Linked DNA regions of Schizosaccharomyces pombe. The protein of the gene in region 4 purifies or fractionates together with the protein of the main gene of each other region. This does not show direct contact. Each region holds a gene or a part of one and is shown on either strand. Other genes may lie near its edges.

Evidence for each region.
Region 1: the proteins of ada1 (region 4) and taf9 purify together in Schizosaccharomyces pombe (affinity purification with mass spectrometry, with the first as the bait; one study listed by BioGRID). This does not show direct contact.
Region 2: the proteins of ada1 (region 4) and ubp8 purify together in Schizosaccharomyces pombe (affinity purification with mass spectrometry, with the first as the bait; one study listed by BioGRID). This does not show direct contact.
Region 3: the proteins of ada1 (region 4) and sgf11 purify together in Schizosaccharomyces pombe (affinity purification with mass spectrometry, with the first as the bait; one study listed by BioGRID). This does not show direct contact.

Annotation. Positions count from the first base shown.
Region 1 is NC_003424.3:336,251-341,111, reverse strand, and holds taf9 (SAGA complex/transcription factor TFIID complex subunit Taf9), read right to left. Parts: upstream 2,811-4,861; 5' UTR 2,721-2,810; coding exon 2,229-2,720; 3' UTR 1,349-2,228; downstream 1-1,348. Other genes in the region: protein Mcp60, read left to right, coding at 1-1,005; rcl1 (rRNA processing protein), read right to left, coding at 3,593-4,684. UniProt on the Schizosaccharomyces pombe protein: Functions as a component of both the DNA-binding general transcription initiation factor complex TFIID and the transcription coactivator SAGA complex.
Region 2 is NC_003424.3:578,041-583,512, forward strand, and holds ubp8 (SAGA complex ubiquitin Ubp8), read right to left. Parts: upstream 3,441-5,472; 5' UTR 3,351-3,440; coding exon 3,255-3,350; intron 3,177-3,254; coding exon 3,044-3,176; intron 2,944-3,043; coding exon 2,256-2,943; intron 2,211-2,255; coding exon 1,913-2,210; intron 1,909-1,912; exon of another isoform or gene 1,860-1,908; coding exon 1,795-1,859; exon of another isoform or gene 1,750-1,794; coding exon 1,680-1,749; 3' UTR 1,313-1,679; downstream 1-1,312. Other genes in the region: protein Mcp7, read left to right, coding at 481-546, 641-1,207; ysp2 (peptidase family M17 cytoplasmic leucyl aminopeptidase yspII (LAP yspII)), read left to right, coding at 4,452-5,472. UniProt on the Schizosaccharomyces pombe protein: Histone deubiquitinating enzyme component of the transcription coactivator SAGA complex. SAGA acts as a general cofactor required for essentially all RNA polymerase II transcription.
Region 3 is NC_003424.3:1,370,186-1,374,836, reverse strand, and holds sgf11 (SAGA complex deubiquitinating submodule subunit Sgf11), read left to right. Parts: upstream 1-2,366; 5' UTR 2,367-2,529; coding exon 2,530-2,556; exon of another isoform or gene 2,557-2,792; coding exon 2,793-3,119; 3' UTR 3,120-3,163; exon of another isoform or gene 3,164-3,216; 3' UTR 3,217-3,359; downstream 3,360-4,651. Other genes in the region: F-box/WD repeat-containing protein Pof1, read left to right, coding at 1-1,771; mug10 (Rho guanine nucleotide exchange factor), read right to left, coding at 3,561-4,379, 4,443-4,651.
Region 4 is NC_003423.3:377,808-384,317, forward strand, and holds ada1 (adenosine deaminase Ada1), read left to right. Parts: upstream 1-2,492; 5' UTR 2,493-2,582; coding exon 2,583-2,753; exon of another isoform or gene 2,754-2,816; coding exon 2,817-5,141; 3' UTR 5,142-5,493; downstream 5,494-6,510. Other genes in the region: SPOM_SPBC106.03 (steroid dehydrogenase), read left to right, coding at 820-1,893; tim11 (F0-ATPase subunit E), read right to left, coding at 5,720-5,805, 5,896-6,067, 6,133-6,153. UniProt on the Schizosaccharomyces pombe protein: AMP deaminase plays a critical role in energy metabolism.

The DNA.
Region 1 (4,861 bases), on a different chromosome or scaffold from region 4:
CCTCTTATTCTTCTTTCTGAAAAGAAAGTGTCTGCTGTCCAAGACATTCTTCCCTCTTTGGAGCTTGCCGCTCAGCAGCGTCGTCCCTTAGTTATCATCGCAGAGGACGTTGATGGTGAAGCTTTGGCTGCTTGTATCTTAAACAAGCTTCGTGGGCAATTACAAGTTGTTGCTATTAAAGCCCCTGGCTTTGGTGACAACCGTCGTAATATGCTTGGAGATTTAGCCGTCTTGACTGATAGTGCCGTGTTCAATGATGAAATTGATGTTTCCATCGAAAAGGCTCAACCCCATCATTTGGGTAGCTGTGGCTCTGTAACTGTCACCAAGGAAGACACTATCATTATGAAAGGTGCTGGTGACCATGTTAAAGTTAACGACCGTTGTGAACAGATTCGTGGTGTCATGGCCGACCCTAATCTCACTGAATACGAAAAAGAAAAGCTTCAAGAGAGATTGGCCAAATTGAGCGGTGGTATTGCTGTTATTAAGGTTGGAGGCTCCAGTGAAGTTGAAGTCAACGAGAAGAAAGACCGTATTGTTGATGCATTGAATGCTGTTAAGGCTGCTGTTTCCGAGGGTGTTCTCCCAGGTGCTGGTACCTCTTTTGTTAAGGCTAGTCTTCGCTTAGGAGACATTCCTACAAATAACTTTGATCAAAAGCTTGGCGTCGAAATTGTTCGCAAAGCTATCACTCGTCCCGCTCAAACCATTCTTGAAAATGCTGGATTAGAGGGTAACTTGATTGTTGGTAAACTTAAGGAGCTTTATGGCAAGGAATTTAACATCGGTTATGATATTGCTAAGGATCGTTTTGTTGATTTAAATGAAATTGGTGTTTTGGATCCCCTAAAGGTCGTACGTACCGGTTTAGTTGATGCTAGTGGAGTCGCCTCATTAATGGGTACCACCGAATGTGCCATCGTCGATGCTCCTGAAGAGTCCAAGGCCCCTGCTGGTCCTCCCGGAATGGGTGGCATGGGTGGAATGCCCGGTATGATGTAAGGTATCAAAAAAATGCCGACGTGGTTTTTTAAATTTTTACAATTTATTAAAAGCTTATGATTATGATGATTTAAATCCATTCAGAGAAATTGGCTTTAATTTTGCATTATGTTGTTGACCTTCGTAAAATTCTTTAGTTTCAAAACTAGTTAATGGGTCATACTTCTGTTAATGGATACTTATTGTTTTGAAACTTTTCATTCGGCTATTCTCATATGGTTGCTAATTGTACAATCAAACTCCTGATTTTGTTTAATGAACATAATGTTTTACCTTGTGTTTATTACACATTATAATTTCACTCTTTTTACGAATGGTATGACTTTCGACTTAAATACCAAGTTTTCACTTTTGTGTTTTTGTAAGTTCTGAATTGTGTTTACGTAAAGCATCAAGTTTCTTTATATTTCCTATACAGGTTTGTGGTGAGCTTTGAAATGGTTGAAGTATGTGAGAGATAAATGATTTTGAAAATGATGAAAATAACGCGGATGAAATATATGTCCGAGAGCGCAAAAAATGTGTGGATATTTCCGTTGCCTTCCTTCTGATTCAAAATTATTATATAACTTATATATTTTTAGCTGTCGTGCGAGTATCCCTACTATATTCTTTTTAGGGGATCTGTATAGGTCATATAAAGAAAATTAAAATGCATGATATTATGTTATCACTAGTATTGTGGTAAATTGTATTTTCAAAGTTATGATGAGAGGCAATTGTAAGTAATAAAGAAACATTGGTGCGGTGTAAATTTTAAATGAGCCTAGTAGTTGAAGAAAGCTCTCGACGAGCTCATGCCAATTTCACAGCCTTACATGAATTACTCCAGTTTTTGTAACATTTTAAGAAAAAGCGCGCCGTCACTGATGTTGTTGCCGTCTCTTTCACTTTTTTCTATTCTATGTCGTACCATATATAAAAGATACAGTGTACAGTAATGTACAATATGAGCTGAATTTAAAAATGTTGTATACTTTTTTGCTCCATACACTGATTTCGTAGCAAATAAACAAATAAACAGGTACCTTATAACTGTAAACGATTTATTACCCACGCCCTGCTTTCGCAAGTTAAATAGGAAGTTCTGGAGGAACAAAATCATATAAATAAAACCATAATCATCTGCTGCAAAGATTCGTGAGCGCTTCAAAAATATTTACATATATCTAAATCATCAGCACTTCCCCGGCATTAGTAACAACTTTAAAAGGAAAATAAATTTATTCAGACTTCACAGAGAAGTCAAGTTTATCCTCCTCCATTCGTGAATCCGAGGAGTTCTCTTCCTTTGGTTGATTCTGTTGGGTTTCATTACTGACAATCCAGTTGGGTTGAGTTAAACAGTACTTCTCCGGTGGAAGACGAAACCCATAAGACGGCTGAATTTGGGGTAAAGGTTTTCGATTTCTCTCCATAGCAAGCTCTAGTAAAAATTCTTTTGGTGGAGGTCCAGTGAAGGAGTGATTGATTTGAGAAGCAACAGCTAAACGTACATCTTCTACAGAAATTGGAGCATTTTGCCCACGTGAATGTTCCGCATAAACCTGTGAATCCTGGATTAACTGCTGTGTATATCTATGTGCAAATGTTAACAACTGCAAAGGCACTGTTTGAGAGTATGATGGAACACCCAGAGAGCTAAGTATTAGATGAATCAGACGAACGTCCTTAGGTCCTTTTATAGATTCATCACTTATTCCTGGAGAACTCATGATTTATTAAATACTATAAGTATATGCGAAGACAAATACGACTCCCGTTATTTTTCTGTTTTACCACCCAAAAAGATTTATGGTCGTTGCGAGCGTTGCAAATTGTATCCACTCAGAAGTTAGCGTGAGTCCACTGCACACCACTAAATAGCTTGTTTCAGAAAGTTTACAACAATGCTATTTTACATATACATTACTAAATATTTCGAGTCATAAAAATTTATCTAAGCAAACTTTAATTTATGCAGAAGGAATGATTTCATTAAAGCAATTCCTATCAAAGTTGCTTTTAGTATCACCAATGTTAATAATTTAGAAGTTACATAAAATTTTAGTATAAGCAGCGTAAAGTAAAAACTCTCATTTAGTAAATAATAAAACGAACAGGATCATTCATACAAAATCAATGATGATACAAATTTACTAAAAATTGGCAGTGTTTTTTTTTTACAAAAGGACATGGAAAAAGGTTGAGATTTTCAAATGAGAAGAGCATCTAAGAACTAATTTTCTGAAAAAGAGGCATCGGGAAAGAAATATTAAAGCAGAATGAAGTAGAAACAGAACCAAGTAATTTAAAGGAAACCAAAAAAATTCAAACCATAATTGAAAATGAACATAACAAGACCGTTAAAACAACTGAGTCACAAAAACGTATTTAAATCTCTAAATATGTATGGTGCTTTTTTTTTATACTCATGTCGTAATTGCAATGGGAAGTTAATGGGTAATGAACTTCTTAGTACGATTAAAGAGTAAATATATATCAAAAAGACGTTCGTTCATTTTAAGTACCCGAACAATATGTTAAATGTAATGTTATGATGTTTAAGAAGAATAAACGAGCAAAGGACCCACTGATAAATGGTTTTCTATTGAATGCGGCGATTGACATTTAAATATCCTTTTCCTAAGCATGACATCTCCACCTGGCCTGATTCGAGCTCTTTAAATCTATATTCGCAATTGAAAAGTGCCTTCACATCCCGAAGAAAAACAACTAATTGCGAAGTAATACCAAGTTGACCCACAACTATTGTGTTAACGTCTTCAGAGGATAGTAGCATCCCGGTTAAAGTTGAAGGTTGTGTATATGGATCTACACAACCACCAGATTCAATAACTTCCAATAATTTCTTTGCGCAAAAGGAACCAACATCTTCTGGTGTTTCTCCAGCTTCACCACAATGCTCGGCAGCATAAGAGCAACCCTTATTAGTTTCTGCAACTAAAGTGATAGAATACCCAGGACTGTTACCACATTCATCTCCACGGCGAACGTCTGTATAAATGAAAACATCGGGTATAAAAGGATTTAAAACTCCGCGAGCAGATTCTACTAAGCGATTTGCAAAAGCGGGAGATACTCTAGTTGAAGAAGCAATTCCTCTGATTCGGAAGACTCTTCCAAATTCTGAGAGACGAATGGGAGGTAAAGACTCTTTAATTACAGGACATAAAAAATTCACTTCACCTCCTCCGCCAGGAGCAGAACCACGCTTTAATATGCGCAACTCAAGTTCATCACCAACTTGAAAACGCTTTTGAAGAGAGGGTAATACACTAGTGCGCAAAACATCGACACCAATATCTTCATTACTGGAAGTAACTCCAGTAAGAGTAAGTGAAGTAGGGGTTTTTGCAAAAAGACAAAGTATTAGAATTGGTTCCAAAAAATAGCCTATCCCTTTGGTAGTTGGACAATCATGGACTACACGACCTCCTATAATATTTCCTGGGCGATATATGAACGAAGTACCTGTGTAAGAAATTTCTATGACACTGCCATTGGTCAACTTCTCCAACAGCCTTAAAAACGAAACCTGGTAATCTTTGACACCAGGATCGGCTTCATCTGGGTAAATTCCTTCAACTCGAATCGGAGTTCCCGAGAGAGTTGCAAGGACTAACCGATGCGTCAAATACTCACATCCTTTAAAGCGTTTGAGCTGACCGGTTGACATCACGAGTTTAACAATTCAAAATGAATGCAAAGCCCCGAATTATTTTAAAAACGCGTTTTTCGAGACTTTGATATTTCAATTCCTTTACAGGAAATTTTTAGTTTTGGTAAAAGAATTTCTACAGCGCAAGAGGTAGAATTGACCTCTCAGCTAGGAGTTGCCGTGGTAACCGTAAAG
Region 2 (5,472 bases), on a different chromosome or scaffold from region 4:
TTGCTTGAAATTCGCTGTGTGAAAATAATAAAGTGAAAAATAAATAAAAGGTTGTAAAACCGAATTCGTACAGTAAGGTGAGCGCCGACAAAAGCTCTTGAGAAAAAAAAAATCATGCTGCTATCAGTATTCGAGTCTTTTCGATTTCGTGGCAAAAGGAAGTTTTCCTCACATGTTTTTGTGCGACAATAGCCAACCCCATTCACTTAATTCCTTAATTTCCTCAAGGGTCAAAAAGATTAGGATAGCTGAATAACGTTTTGCATTGCATTATGTTGCAATACGATAGTAAGACATTATAGGGTATATATCATAGTTGGAAAGTGCGGATGTGCATTTTAGCAGACTACGTTATCATTCAGTAAATGTTTGGGATCTAAACTCTCATTTCTCCAAAAGATTAGAAAGCATCTACTTCTTGCATCACAACAAACTTTTAAACTCCATATTTGTTCAAACTAATTAATAAATTTTTAAACAATGCCTCCCAAGGGACTATCGCTTGCAGAGAAAAGAAGAAGATTAGAGGCCATTTTCCATGACTCTGTAAGTTCGTGATATGATTGTTCAAGTGCCAAAACATGATTTTTGCCCATTCGTGTCTCACTTTCCACATTGCTAATCTATGTTTTTTTTATAGAAAGATTTTTTTCAACTAAAGGAGGTGGAAAAGCTGGGCTCTAAAAAGCAAATCGTTTTGCAAACTGTAAAGGACGTTTTACAGTCTCTCGTTGACGACAATATCGTCAAAACGGAAAAGATTGGCACTAGCAATTACTACTGGTCTTTTCCCTCCGATGCTAAACGTTCAAGAGAGTCAGTTCTCGGATCTCTTCAAGCTCAACTTGATGATTTGAAACAAAAATCTAAAACTTTAGATGAAAACATTAGTTTCGAGAAATCCAAAAGGGATAACGAAGGAACCGAAAATGATGCCAATCAATACACTTTGGAACTGCTACATGCAAAAGAATCAGAACTAAAACTTCTTAAAACACAACTTTCAAATTTAAATCACTGTAATCCTGAAACCTTTGAATTAAAAAATGAGAATACTAAAAAGTACATGGAAGCTGCCAATTTGTGGACCGATCAAATCCATACTTTGATAGCTTTTTGTCGAGACATGGGTGCCGATACCAATCAAATTCGTGAGTATTGCAGCATTCCAGAGGATTTGGACGATCTGCAACTACCGATTTTGTGAACTTGACATGCTTCCTTAATTCAAAGAGTTGTTTTCCTTATTAATATTTTAAAATTTTATACATTTTAACAGTTACATATAAAATAGCTTACTCGACGACAAGACTTAGCTTTTAAAAGATAAAATTATAATTAGTTGGAATAATATTAAACGAAACAAAACAAAAGTCCAAATTCCTCAAACTTATAGTATTTGTTAACTTTGAAAGAAAAAAAGCATGTTTCTTTTTTTATAGTTTTAACTTTTTTTATAAATTTACGTAAGGTCATTAATTAAAATGCGACTGTTGTAACGGTTCCAAATCCAATGCCATTTCTGGCCTCAACAATATGAAATCTAAAAGCTTCTTCATGAGTTAGATTATCGAAGTGATGATGTTTCATAACCACATAAATAAGGAACCTTTGAGTCAATTACTTTACATGGTTCATAATGATTGTTCATGAACGGATATCTGATCGCATAATCTAACTCAATTTTCCGTTTTAACAGTCATTTCATCACTGTATAGGATTTGACGCTCATGGTAAAATAATAGGTAACTATAATCTGGTTAGTATGTAAAAAAATAACAGCAAAGAGCCTACGCTTGAGAATTTAAGACCTCCGATTCCTTTACTTCCACAATTGTGGTGTCATCCAGCAAAAACCACTACAAAAATTAGTAAAAATTTCCATAAAAAATTCAAAAAAAATTTAATATACTTGATTTTGGTAGTATGTATAGGCAATATAGTGCCCTGTGTCGAGAGTTCCTTTATGACACACAACTGAGTATAATTGATAATCCACATCATCTTGATTAAAGTTGTAGCGCATTCTTAAAAATGCTGGATAAGATACTTGCTTATCTATTTTAGTTGACATGGCAAAGTTATTTTGTTCAAATCGTTTCAATTGCATGCAAATAGTTGGAGGTAGTTTGTCAAAGACCAATTGTTTAATAGCATTTTTTGACCCGCAACTATGACAGCTATATTGAACTTTCTCTTTGGAAACAAACCTAAAATAATATTTGTTAAAAAATCTAAAAACGAGCAAATTTTACCTTTCCAAACATCCTTGAAGTGTTGGCTCATTGATGTCTAAACTAATGTCCATCAAAGGATCCACAGCCACCCGCTCCTTCTTGCAATCTAGGCATGTAACAACGTTTTTCAGAGATCCACTAAAAATACGATGAATAGGACAAGTGCACGGCATTGATGTTCCTCCTCCGCTTTCCGTATGCATTTGGTCCAGCAAGTATACAAAAAATTCGTGGCCATCTTGCTGGGAGTAACCACATAAAGATTTGCTGAGTTTCCACATAAGATTTAAGACAGCAGTGGGACCGTAAAAAGTAGATTTGTTTTTAGAATTATAAATAGATGAAAACATATCGTCAATGGCACAAGTCATGCAAGTAGGTCGCTTACAATCAGTAGAAGTATGAAACCCACTGAAAAACAAGTTTCGAACCAATGGATTATGCAAAATACTTTGTAAAATGACGCTCATGAAACAAGTAGCACCCAAGTTCTGGATCCCCCTCAAGCCTGCTGTTGCGCAAACTGGAGGGTATTTTCGATAGGCTTCTAAGCAAACCATTTGATTGTACTTCTCGGGAAGTCTCTTGTGATCACTTTGCCATGCCTTGATATTCTTGATCTTAAAACGAAGGGTTTCCAACTCGGTCTGATAAACGTAGTCTTGACAGCCAAAGCAGTAGGTATGGCCATTTTTTACATCCACGCCTAAGAATTAGTAATTGGTATTCGGGAATTGCATCCTAACTCGATATTCGCAAAAAGGTTTCGTTGCTAAATCAATAGCTATGTTTTCAACTAAACGTACCGATCATATGAGTGTGCTCCATTGCGTGTTCTTCACCATGATGTCCCCAAAGACATCCCACAGAATGACAACTCAAGCATCGAATACTCCGCTTGTTGATGCGTTTGCAAGTACTGCAGCGACGTGGGACAAACTAAATGAAAGAAATGTTAAAAGGAATCGAATGGAAAAAGAAAATTGAACTGTATGAAGTGTTGTTCACAAGCCTTACATGACAACTGAATATCTGGGTACAGATCTTTTGATAGTTTTCAACATCCGCCGGTTTAAGTTTAAGATGCTGGCAACCTTCTACATCCCCAGGCATCCTTGATACGTACAAAATTGGCCTTTCAGACTAAAAAGCATCTGCTTCGATGCAGGGTGAAACGACAACAATAGACGAACTCGCTATTCTGGCAAAAGAACATTATTTCTCTTTGCTTAAATTTGGGCAATTAAGGATGCGGTGTACAGCGTTAAGAGCCATAAAGTACTCATAGTGTCTGCACTACTAGATACCGATTTCGTATAAAGAGCTATCATAGCTACGCTAAGTCAATTGATAAAACACCAAAATAGATGTTCTTCGTAGTTCTTGAGTGTCCTTGGTTTTCCTCTTTAAAACATAAACTTGGTAAATTCCCATAGATTTGGCTGTTGAGTCACTGCAAAATAAAAAAAATTACTGCTAGTCCTTTAATCACGGTTGAATAGATGAAATTGTTAATTTTTTAAAAGCTTGGTCAAATTAGACTAATGCCTCTATTAACGTCGAACGTGTTTAAGTGTACGCTTATGTTTGTTGCCATGAAACGTTTGCAGGGCTAAATATAAAACCATATATGACTATTTACCGTGAGCATCTTTGTAATACAACCGAGTCACTGCAAGCAGGTACATGTACGAAAATTTTTGTCTATTACATTTGTATAGAATTTATTACTTAACAATTGACTAGGGGCAGATTTTTGTGCCGAAACAGTTTGTGTTACCCTAAATAGAGATTGTAGGGCAACAATACGTCTGCAGAAGTTCAAATATATATGTAGCAAATGAGTGTGACTTACTTAAAAATTGGTTTTTGATCAAGAAATAAAATCCTTTGGTGCTTTTTCTTTTTTATGTCTAGCCTTGTTGAATGTATTTTTCCATCACAATGTTGATCTTGTCTACTCAATAACACACTAGACTATGTTAAGTACACTTGCCCTTGCCCAATCTGCAATCGGACATCGTATTTTATTTTTGCATACTGAATTTACGTGTATTCGTAGTTTCACGAGTTAACGATTTTCGAATATCCAACTCTCATTGAACTTATAATAATCCGTAATCCTTTACCTTTTTTTTGATTACAAGTGTCTAATTAAGTTTTCTAAATCAAGAGAAATCAAAGATACAAGCAAAGCTTTTTTTCTTACGTACAATGAAGGGTTTAGGTCTAAGTACGAGAACCTTTAATTGGAGCTCACTTTCTTCCATTCTTTTACCAAGAATTCCTTTAGCTACTACAAAAGCCGATTCCTTGATTTTGGCTGTTCGTCACGATAAACAAGTTTTTTCTGAAGATTATCGACAAGTTGTTGACCAGTATTTTGAAACATCTCCCAAAAAAAATGACATTCGTCTCTTTTGGAACACTCAGGGTTTTGTTCGTCTTGCCATAGTCCAGCTTGAAGAAAACGTTTCTGAAAAGTCCGTTCGTTCAGCTGCTGCAGAGGCAGCTAAGATTTTAAAGTCGAATGGTGCAAAGTCGATAGCTGTCGATGGTATGGGTTTTCCCAAGGATGCTGCCTTGGGTGCTGCCTTGGCCACGTACGATTTTTCTCTTCGTAGAGACCATTTGAGCGTCTATCAAGATGAAAAGGTGGTTGAAAAGGAAAATTTATTTACCTCTCCTGCTCCTGAAAGGTTAACTTTCCAATTGCTTAGCAACACATCTGAGAAGAAAACTGCAACCGCAGAGGAGAATGCTTTTAAGGTAGGTTTGATTGAAGCAGCTGCTCAAAACTTGGCTCGTTCTCTTATGGAATGTCCTGCTAATTACATGACTTCTCTTCAATTTTGTCATTTTGCTCAAGAGTTATTCCAAAATTCCTCAAAGGTTAAAGTATTCGTTCACGATGAGAAGTGGATTGATGAGCAAAAGATGAACGGTTTACTTACCGTGAATGCTGGTTCCGATATTCCACCTCGTTTCTTAGAAGTACAATACATTGGTAAAGAAAAATCAAAAGATGATGGATGGCTTGGTTTAGTTGGAAAAGGTGTAACGTTTGACAGCGGTGGTATCAGTATCAAGCCTTCTCAAAACATGAAGGAGATGCGTGCTGATATGGGTGGTGCTGCTGTTATGCTTTCCTCTATTTATGCCTTGGAACAACTTTCCATCCCCGTGAATGCCGTGTTTGTTACCCCTTTAACTGAGAATCTTCCTTCTGGCTCTG
Region 3 (4,651 bases), on a different chromosome or scaffold from region 4:
TCTTGCACCACGAGCAGAGCTATGGCAACGCCATTTACTGGAAAAAAAAGAAGGTGATCAATCCATCTCCGTTTCGGCTTTTAATATTTCTTCAATGCATAATGAATTGTCTGGTTTAAGCGAAAAAAGTCGTCAACGTGTCGAAGCTGTATGGGCTGCTTTTTCAGAGGCTTCTTGCAGCGAACGTAAACTCGCTTTGCAAGGCATTTTAAACAACTGTTCGTCCTCTCTTCTCTCTTTTGCCTCCAGCACATTAGATTCTCTAGTACGCTTAGATTTTCTCTCTTTGCTCCCTGTTGAAATTTCGTTTCGCATTTTATCTTTTTTGGATGCTAGAAGCCTTTGCCAAGCTGCACAAGTCAGTAAACATTGGAAAGAACTTGCTGATGATGATGTTATATGGCATCGGATGTGTGAACAACATATTAATCGAAAATGTGAAAAATGCGGCTGGGGACTTCCGTTACTCGAAAGAAATACCTTATACGCAGCAAAGGCTTCCATACAAAAACGTTATGAACGACTTACAAAAAGAGGCGTCGATCAGGCTCATGAATCTTCACCCGTCAAAAAAGCAAAGCTGGACGATTATCCGACGTCGAGTAATGAAGAGACTATTTCTTCTGTCAAACCACCTTCTCCGAACTCCGATTCCAAATTCTTTCTTCCCTTTAAAACCAGACCATGGAAAGAAGTATATGCTGAACGTTGTAGAGTTGAATGCAACTGGCGGCATGGTCGTTGTCGCCAGGTTGTTCTCAGTGGCCACTCTGACGGTGTTATGTGTCTACAACTTGTAAGGAACATTCTTGCTAGCGGCAGTTATGATGCCACTATACGATTATGGAATCTTGCTACCTTTCAACAAGTTGCTCTATTAGAAGGTCATAGCAGTGGTGTTACGTGCCTTCAATTCGATCAGTGTAAACTTATCAGCGGTTCAATGGACAAAACTATTCGTATATGGAACTACAGAACCTCTGAATGCATTTCTATTTTACATGGTCATACGGATAGTGTTTTATGCTTAACGTTTGACTCTACGCTACTTGTTTCTGGAAGCGCAGATTGTACAGTTAAGCTGTGGCACTTTTCTGGCGGTAAGCGTATCACTTTACGCGGTCACACAGGACCTGTCAATTCTGTCCGCATAATTAGAGATCGTGGACTTGTTCTTTCCGGTTCCGACGATTCCACCATCAAGATTTGGTCTTTGGAAACAAACACGTGTCTTCATACTTTCAGTGCTCATATTGGCCCTGTCCAGAGTTTAGCTCTTGCTGATTCGCGATTGTTTTCTTGCTCATTGGACGGCACAATAAAGCAATGGGACATCGAGAAGAAAAAATGTGTTCATACATTGTTTGGACACATTGAAGGTGTATGGGAAATTGCGGCAGATCACCTTCGTTTAATCTCGGGAGCTCATGATGGTGTTGTTAAAGTTTGGGAGGCTTGTGAATGTGTTCACACGTTGAAGAATCACTCGGAGCCTGTAACCTCGGTTGCTCTTGGAGACTGTGAGGTAGTCAGTGGGTCTGAAGATGGGAAAATATATTTGTGGCTTTTCAATAATGCTCCAAATGAATCTCCAGTATCTACACAATCTGTTCCGATATCTTCCCTTAATGGTCAAAGGTCAAATTCAAGTGTGCAACGAGCTCTTTCTTCAGTACCCAACTACTCATCCTCGTTATCCAATATCTCAACCAGAAATTTAAATATCCCACCCTCTAATGCCAATAATGACGATGTGTCGATTCAATCGTAGTTACCCCAACATCGCATCGCCTTTTTGTTTGTGTCTATTTCTTTTTTTCTTCGGCATTTCGCTTGTATATCCTTCATTTTTCATCATTCGAAGCTATGTCTTTATTTATTGCTCGGGTTGCCAAAATGCCATATCTAAATTTGGCTCTTTTTTGGTAACAAACACTTTGTCTATAATCAAAAACTACTTCTAATATCCTTGCCTGTATTGTATTATTTAAATCATTTGAGATTGATGGCATCCCGGCATACAGTTTAGCCTTTTGCTTAATTTACTAGCGAATTATTTTATGACTTTTAACATTTTATGTATTTAATGAATACAATTTATCCTTAGTCGAGCTGAAGAATGTATGATTTGATGAATTGTAAAAGGGAGAAACTTAGGTACTATGTTGTAGGCGTTGTTTTTTCCAATTGCGCAAGTGGATTACTGATATTTTATTTCATGAGCGTGTGTATTTTGCATTGCTCTTGGAGTCAGAGAAGTATGAAATTAGCAAATTATATCAACACTCACTATTAGCAAATAAAGTCAGCTCCTACGCAAGCTAAAGATGTAACACCAAGTATTTGAGCCTAATAATTTTTATAATAAAGACATCAATTTGAAGCACTTCCGTTCTGTAAATCTCAATTTCCCATACGGATCAGTTGCATCTTTTTCCTCATTGTTTGAAATTTTGGAATCACCGGCTTTGTAACAATACTAACTTGCTTGGAATACTCAACTTTTGATTCCCAAAGAATGGTTTAAAGATGCAGCCTGCTTCTCTTGCCGGTATTGTAAGTACCTGATTTCTCTATGTGTAATTGTTTTTCCTTTCAAAATTAAACTTCCTCGCCAAAAAAAGATTTGCTTGTTTATGAAAGCATGTATCATTTAATCGATCGCGGTTTATTTAACATGTCAAATTGTAGTACTTTAAAGACAAAAGGAAGATTAATAGAAAAACAATTGTCAATAGGTGGCTGAATTTAACACTTGTACAACTTTTTCACTAACTTCAAATTTCAATCAGTCTTGCACTATATTTGAGAATTTGTTGAAAGACTACACCCATGAATTGACCCAAACAGTCCACAAGAATGCTAAATTATCTCTTCAAAAATGTCCGGCCTGTAACAAGCATTGTCGGCAGTATTGTACCAAGCCAGGCTACGATATATATGGTAATAGCGTCCAAACTCCTTCAAATGTCCCTTATTATTCTTGTTTAATGTGCAAGCGTGAAATAGCTGCGTCTCGATATGCTGCACATTTAGAGAAATGTAAAGGCAGGTCACTTTCAAACGCTACCTCGTACTCAACTCTTTTCGAAGATGACAATGCAGACGAAGAGGACTAGTTTTATTTGTTGCTTGTTTTAAGGTTTATTCTCATTATGCACATGTATGTCTTTCCCAGTAAGACGAACTACAATATTATTTTGCTAACTTGTGTAGCTAGTTATTAAACTCATATATAGTAGACTCTCACTTCAATAAAAAGACGAGGAATTGTAAACAAGAATTACCAATAAATATTATTAAAGGATAAAGATATTATTTAAACTATTTGGTTAATAATAATGCCCATATTAAGGTAACGAAGGTGAGAAGTAAATTTTTAATTGAGGAAAATATCTTTCAAAGTTGGTAAGACAAGGATAACAAGAATGAAGAAGTAAGTTGACAATAAATTTTGGTTTAACATATTTGTCATTATGTTCAGCAAATTTTAGGTAACGAGTGAATAATAGAAAAAAAATATCGTTTAATATTAAAAAAAGAAAAAGAAAGAAATTAGTTTATGTTTTAGCATTGACAACTTTCAATCGGTTTAATTTATTTTCTTTGCCATTTGAGATACCAGCTCTTTCATGATACCACTTAAGAAAAACAGAAGCAGCCATAGTTTGAGGTGCCAAATGACGGTTTAAAAGCTTCCCCTTCATATTTAAAGTACAAACTAAAATAGAGTTTGAAAGTTCATCTACTCGAAGACATTGTTCTATCGAAACGGCCTTCATTTCGATTTTTTTAACATACCTCGTCCAAACAACCAATCCATCGTCGCAAAAGACGCAGGCATTAAAATCATAAATAAATGAAGTAGCTGGAATAACTGACCCTTTAAATTTTATATGCCTTGGAATGTCCACCGCAACACCCTGGTTTCCACACAGTGCACTAAGTACTTGATAACTTTCCTCGCGGGCTTTTTCTTGGTCTATATAAGAACATAACTCTCGAAAATCGTCAAGTGTTTTGACCGCCATCCGAAAATCTCCATTCAAAAATGGATATTTCCGTAACATTTTACAAACACGTGCTAAATGTATAGGATATCTCAACAAGTGTTGCAATGGAATTAAAAGCTGACTGTTGCACGAAGAAGGATCAGAAATTATTTTTTCAATGGCAGATATTCCACTTAAATTGATGGTATACATGTGGTAAACATCACGAAAAGCGGGTAAAGATTGCGACAATGAATATACTGGAGAGCCACTGGAAATCATTTGTTGATATAACTTCGTGTGTAACTGATTTAAAGTCTTAAAGCACGTGCAAATTCCAATCGCCTCCCTTTCCATACTTTGGCCTTCGATTGGCATTATAATTTCCTAAAATGTAAGTAATCACAAACTAGTAAACACGAGCATAATATTTGCTATAGTAATCGTTACATTTAATGTTTTCTTTAAATCAACAGAGTAATTGTATTCTGTCGAAATTATTTCCTGAAGTATACTGTTAAACTCAGTAGCCGGTGTTTGTTCAACAGCTTTTGCTTCTAAATAGACGCACGGATTAGTTCTTTTCGTTGATTGTTTTTGAAGTAATCTAATCGATTTTCCACGCGTTAGAGACCTTATGATTGGCATCGTTTTTAAAA
Region 4 (6,510 bases):
AAGGACTGAGCGACAAATGAAAGGCTGTTCTTTTTTTTACAATTGTTGAGACAATTACAAGAACTATGGTACACATAAAAACTTTTAAAGAGTAGCAAGGTTTTAATACAATTCTTAAAGTTTTTTGAGCAAACAGATCACAATGATCCTTTCATATGTACATGCTTTAGAGAAGTAAGGTCAATACTTCAATCGGACTTCTCATCTACAATGAAAACGCGAATTTCATAATAAATACTAATCATCCATCCGTTCTCTCATATCCTTGGTATCCTTTATCCTTCCCATTAGTCAATCTCTAAAGCCATTAATCCTCATTTTTTTATAATGCCATCGCTCAATTCCCGCAAAACATCAAACCTTTTATGAACAGATACTATCATTTACTTACAATATGTTTTTAGCAACATAGCTTCCTATTAGCCTGATGTGAGATTAACTTCGATAAACTTTCAATATTAAAACTTGCATTCGATTTGAATCATCTTTACTGCCATAAAATAGAATTGCGATTTAGGATCAAGTTAGCACGACATCATGGTGTTTTCCAATATTCGCGACCTGTTCTCAACCACCACTCACCACTTCATTAATTCCAAGTTTTAGAATTCTTTAGCTTTTTGAAGTATTACTTGTGAATTCCTCAAGTGATAGTATTTATTGTTGAAATTGCTAAATATTTTTCAATTTCATCCTGCATTGTTTCCTTCTTCAAACATTATATCAGGGAGAAAATTGAAGTGTTTTTTTGCCTGGAAATCTAATCCAATTGCTACGAAAACGAATTATCATATCAAAAAGGTAGAATAACATTAAAAAATGAATCCTGAACGCTGGGCTGCCGATTTAGTCTCTAATGTTAAGGATTACGGCAAGCGAATCATTGACTATGCTCATGAAAAAACTAGTAACCCTCAACCTGTTACAGTTCATACTACAAACAGTGCCAAGGGAAGATTGGGAGAATTTCTTTATCAAAATAGAGTATCAGTTGGCTTAGGATCGGCCGCTTTGTTCCTTGCTGGATTATCCTATTACAAACGCTATGATTATGTACGCAAGCGTCGTGCTCCACGTGCACCCAACCACCAAAAAACCCAAGTTGTTGTCTTATCTGCGTGGAACCCTCTCGCCTCAGTAATTGCTCACGATTTGGATCGTCGTGGTTTTATCGTCGTTGTTCTTGTTCGCGATGCATCTGAAGCAGCTACTGTTTCTCTCCAACAACGCCCTTACATTCAATCTTTGATTGTTACTCATAATGAGGCTGTTGAACGCTTCCTTTTGTCTTTTTCCAATCAATCTGGCCCTAAGGAGTATGCTTTGCGCCTACGTGGTCTTATTCTCGTTCCCACAGGAGATTCTTTGTACACTCCAATTGAGAACATTGGAAAAGATGCTTGGATCAGTGCTTTTCAACAACTCAGTGAATCTTTCTCTAACGTTTCTCGAATGATTCCTCTTTTGAAAAGTCAAAAGGCCAGAATCATTGGCTTGTCTCATGGTATATTATCCGCTTATGAGCCTCCCAATTATGCTGTTCCATCTATTCTTTCTTCTTCCATTGAAACTTTCTTGCGCACTCTCAAGCGTGAAACGGGCTTACAGGTTATTTGTATCAAACTTGGAAATCTCAGCTTTTTGAATTACGATCATTCTAGCTCTCCAGGTAAAAGCAATTATCCTCCTTCGTTGTGTACGGAACGTAAGGTTCTAAACAAAATTTTTGACTCCTTGCTTGGTTGCTGGCCCTCTCCAACTCGCCATGTTGGTTGTCGCACCTTTTTCATGGTCACAGTATCACGGTTCCTTCCTACGTGTGTTATTGATGGGATTTTCTCCTTGTTTGGAAAATTTCACTTCTTTTCCTGCAGTCTTATTAAGCGCAGCTAAATACTTGTATGGAGCCTCAGTTCTCTCTGTTTCCTTGTCAAATTGAACTCATCCCATGTCTATCATGGTTTGGTATAATGATAATGATGCTATGAAAAGATGTCATTGATATCCATATCTTTTGCTTGAGTTTTTTCAATTATTTTTGTTTCTATTTTTTTTACGCTCGAGGTGTAAAGCGAAATCTAGTAACTGTTAAGCTCTTTTCCTCAGAGCGAACTTAAGTAAAATGGTTTATAGGTTATTTTACCGTTCGTACTATTGCTACAATTTCGATTTCAAATTGTATTGTCTACTTAAATGTGCAAGTGATACAAAAGATAGGATGTATATTGATCGCTACTGAAACCGTAAAAACAAAAGTTACTCGTAAAATGAGTGTCAATTTTCTCTTTAATTTATTGAATGAAAATATTAAAAATCATTCGATTTAAACAAATTCAGTTTGGCCAGAATTCTAAACATTTCAATTGCCCTTAATTTTGTTTGCCTCAATAAATCATCGCTCTATTTCGTTAAACAACATAATGTCTGTACGTCCTCTCTCACTATGTGGTTTACTTCCGTATATAAACGGCTCTTCACCCGCAAGTGCACGCGCTCCTCTCAAAAAGGTGTTGTTTTCGTCGCATTCTTCTTGAAGAGGCCAATTTTTGGGATTCTTTTTTATTCTAATTTTTAGAGCTGAAATGAACATGGAACAAGAAGATGATCAAGTCCCAGCTGTTGCAGCTGAAACTGTTCCTTTAAAACGATATGTAACGAATCCTGGTGCTAATCGAGACGAAGAAGTTGCAGCAGCGCCTTCGTCTCAAGACACTCCTTATTTTGATTATGCTTATGAGCGCTCTTTAAGACATGTAAGTATTTAAGTGAAAACCCCCCAATTCGATATATTACGTGTTTAACTAACCATAACCTAGCAAGATGCTAAATTTCTGGCTATGAATGGAACACAAAACGGTCGGGATGGACTGCCCTCTAAAAGCCCAAGACGACCATCAGTCTCGGCTAGCACAGTAAGGAATAGTGATGATGTAAACCATAGTAAAGCTGGTCCTGGAAGTGGAAAGCTTTTGAATGATACGCTTCAAAGCAAAATAAGTAGCATTCATATGCCCCATGTGCAGCAGGGAGACAATGCTGTAGTTTCTAGTGTTGGTGGCCCTGAAACCGATCCAGGAAACATGGAAACGACTGACCCTCTTTTCTCTGATGAATTGGCAGAAATTTATTTGTCAATCCATAAATGTATGGACATGCGACACAAATATATTAGGGTGAGCTTACAGGGTGAGCTTGACAATCCCATTGACGATGATTCATGGATTATATACCCTGATTGCAAAGAAGGTGAAGATGATACGGGCTTGTTTAATTTTGCTGATTGCAAAATTCCTGGAATTGAAAATGAAATGGAATATCACATGGATCATCAAGGTATATTTCAAGTTTATGAGAATGACAGCGCATACATTGCGGGGACACCGTCTTTTCATATTCCTACTATCCGCGATTATTATATAGATTTAGAATTCCTTCTTTCGGCTTCATCGGATGGTCCTAGTAAATCATTTTCCTTCCGTAGATTGCAGTATCTAGAAGGACGCTGGAATATGTATATGCTGCTAAACGAGTATCAAGAGCTGGCAGATACCAAAAAAGTACCCCATCGTGATTTTTACAATGTACGTAAGGTAGATACTCACGTCCATCATTCTGCTCTTGCGAATCAAAAACATCTCTTGCGATTTATCAAAGCTAAACTTCGTAAATGCCCTAATGAAAAAGTTATCTGGCGTGATGGCAAATTCCTGACTTTACAAGAAGTATTTGATTCGTTGAAGTTGACTTCGTATGACCTTAGTATAGACACGTTGGATATGCATGCTCATACTGACACCTTTCACCGATTTGACAAATTTAACTTGAAATATAATCCAATTGGTGAATCTCGTTTGCGTACTATTTTCCTGAAAACCGATAATGATATTAACGGTCGATATCTTGCTGAACTTACCAAAGAGGTGTTCACCGACCTTAGAACTCAAAAGTACCAAATGGCTGAATATCGTATTTCTATCTATGGACGGAATCGTGAAGAATGGGATAAGCTTGCAGCCTGGATTATTGATAACGAACTTTTTTCTCCCAACGTTCGTTGGCTTATTCAAGTACCTCGTTTGTATGATGTGTATAAGAAGTCCGGTATTGTTGAGACTTTTGAAGAGGTCGTCAGAAATGTCTTTGAACCACTGTTCGAAGTTACAAAGGATCCTCGTACACATCCTAAACTCCACGTGTTTTTGCAACGTGTTATCGGGTTTGACTCTGTTGACGACGAAAGTAAACCTGAACGCCGTACCTTTCGCAAATTCCCTTATCCGAAACATTGGGATATTAATTTAAATCCTCCATATAGTTATTGGTTATATTACATGTATGCCAACATGACTAGCTTGAATAGCTGGAGAAAAATACGTGGTTTTAACACCTTTGTCCTTCGTCCTCATTGTGGTGAAGCTGGAGATACGGATCATTTGGCCAGTGCTTTCTTATTAAGTCACGGTATTAACCATGGTATTTTATTACGAAAAGTTCCTTTTCTTCAGTATCTTTGGTACCTTGATCAGATCCCTATCGCAATGTCTCCATTATCAAACAATGCACTGTTTCTTGCATATGATAAGAATCCATTTTTGACGTACTTCAAACGAGGTCTTAATGTTAGTCTTTCCACTGATGATCCTTTACAATTTGCATTTACCCGAGAGCCTCTGATTGAGGAATATGCTGTAGCCGCACAAATTTATAAGCTCTCTGCTGTCGATATGTGCGAATTGGCTAGAAACAGTGTTTTACAATCCGGTTTCGAACGTCAGCTTAAAGAACGTTGGTTGGGTGTTGATTTTCAGGATATTGATCGTACTAATGTACCTATAATTCGCCTGGCTTATCGTGCTTTGACTTTGACACAAGAAATTGCGTTAGTGAACAAGCATGTCCAACCATCCAAGCACCCTTCAAACCATGATTTGGAGGAATTGATCCATAAATATGATGCTATGACTGGTACTAGCGACCCTTTGTCGGCTTCTCCTCGTACGAACGACGCTACAATAAGCAGTAGATTGTCTCTTCATGATGGTCATGACCATGGTGCCTTTTTCCCTGGACTAAGTGTGATTTCAGAGCGTCGTCGACGTAAGGATAGCATGGCTAGCAGTAGCCAAGATTTGAAAGATTAAGGTTTCTATTATGAACCGCTTTCGTTTATTTTACTTTTGCTTTTTTTTTCATGCAACTTTGATGTATTGAAACATTTGGGGAAGGCAATATACCTTTGATACCTTTGATAATTGTGCATTCTGTTTTAGAACGATATTTGTTCTTGTTATGTTAAATAACCCATAAAAATATATATAACATATATATTACCTCCTTTTCTTTCCTGTCTTTTTTTTTTTTTGGAATGAATGTTTACTATACATATTTAAATAGATAATGATATCCATGTGAACTAAAATGGTATGAAAAAAGCTTACAAGTCTATTTAATGGAATACTTATAGAGAATTAATTCTCAAAAAAACAAATCATGTGGATCATCTTCATTATAATAAAGTGAGTAAAGTAAGATAAGTTACCATGTTACAATTCGAATTTAGTAATAACTTAAGCAAAACGTTAAATTGATTAATCAGTTGACGCGGACAATCAGCAAATACTAATCGCACCAAAAGTGCACACAAAAATAAACAAACTAGTTTAGTATATCGATTTGTAGTGTGATAAGGGTTACCCATTCGTGGTTCAAGAGGATGAATTTAAACATTTTTTTCAAGTTCTTTGACAAATTCATCCATATCGAAATCTTCTGAATCTTTCTTCAAATTAGGCAACATAGAGTCTTCTAAATTGAGTATTAGTAAAGCGAAAAAAAAATGAGTACTATTGCACCCGCCAAAGTTCGTTAAACTCGTTGAGATGCAAAGAAACTAACCTTTAGGAGGAGTGTTTTTAGTATTGAGATATGCAATTTTGGCAGATTCAATCAAGGATTCTTGTCGGTGATAGTTCTCATCAATCTCCTTCTGCTTTTGACATTGAATATGACTCCTATGCTCGTACATTCCAGCACCTAAGCCAAGGACGAGGGCTGACCAGCGTAATGTCTATTCGTTAGAGATGGTTAAAAATACACATGGATATTTCGTGAAACTAATTCATTAGAGGATACCTTTACGTTTATGGAATTCATTTTTAGAGCGTTATATCACTTTTGTAAAAGAGTGGGGAGTGTTCAAGTTCATTTTGCATCCGAGCACAATCGAACTCTAAACACTTAACACGAATAGTGCAACGTTTAGTATTAGTTTAACATTCTAATAAAGGTTTTTTTAAAATATTTCAGCAAACGCTTTACCGTATTCTTAATTACTCCGCGGTATTGAAGCTGCTACCAGTGCTTGATCCATTTCGAAAACAAAGATAGCATTAACACGTTACGACACATTAAATTGTATACAATAACAAAACTTCGAGTACAGTAGTTTACAGTGCACGAAGAAGTCCCAAGGTAAAGCAAACGAAGTAGAGTTGCTCTCCTTCACCAAAC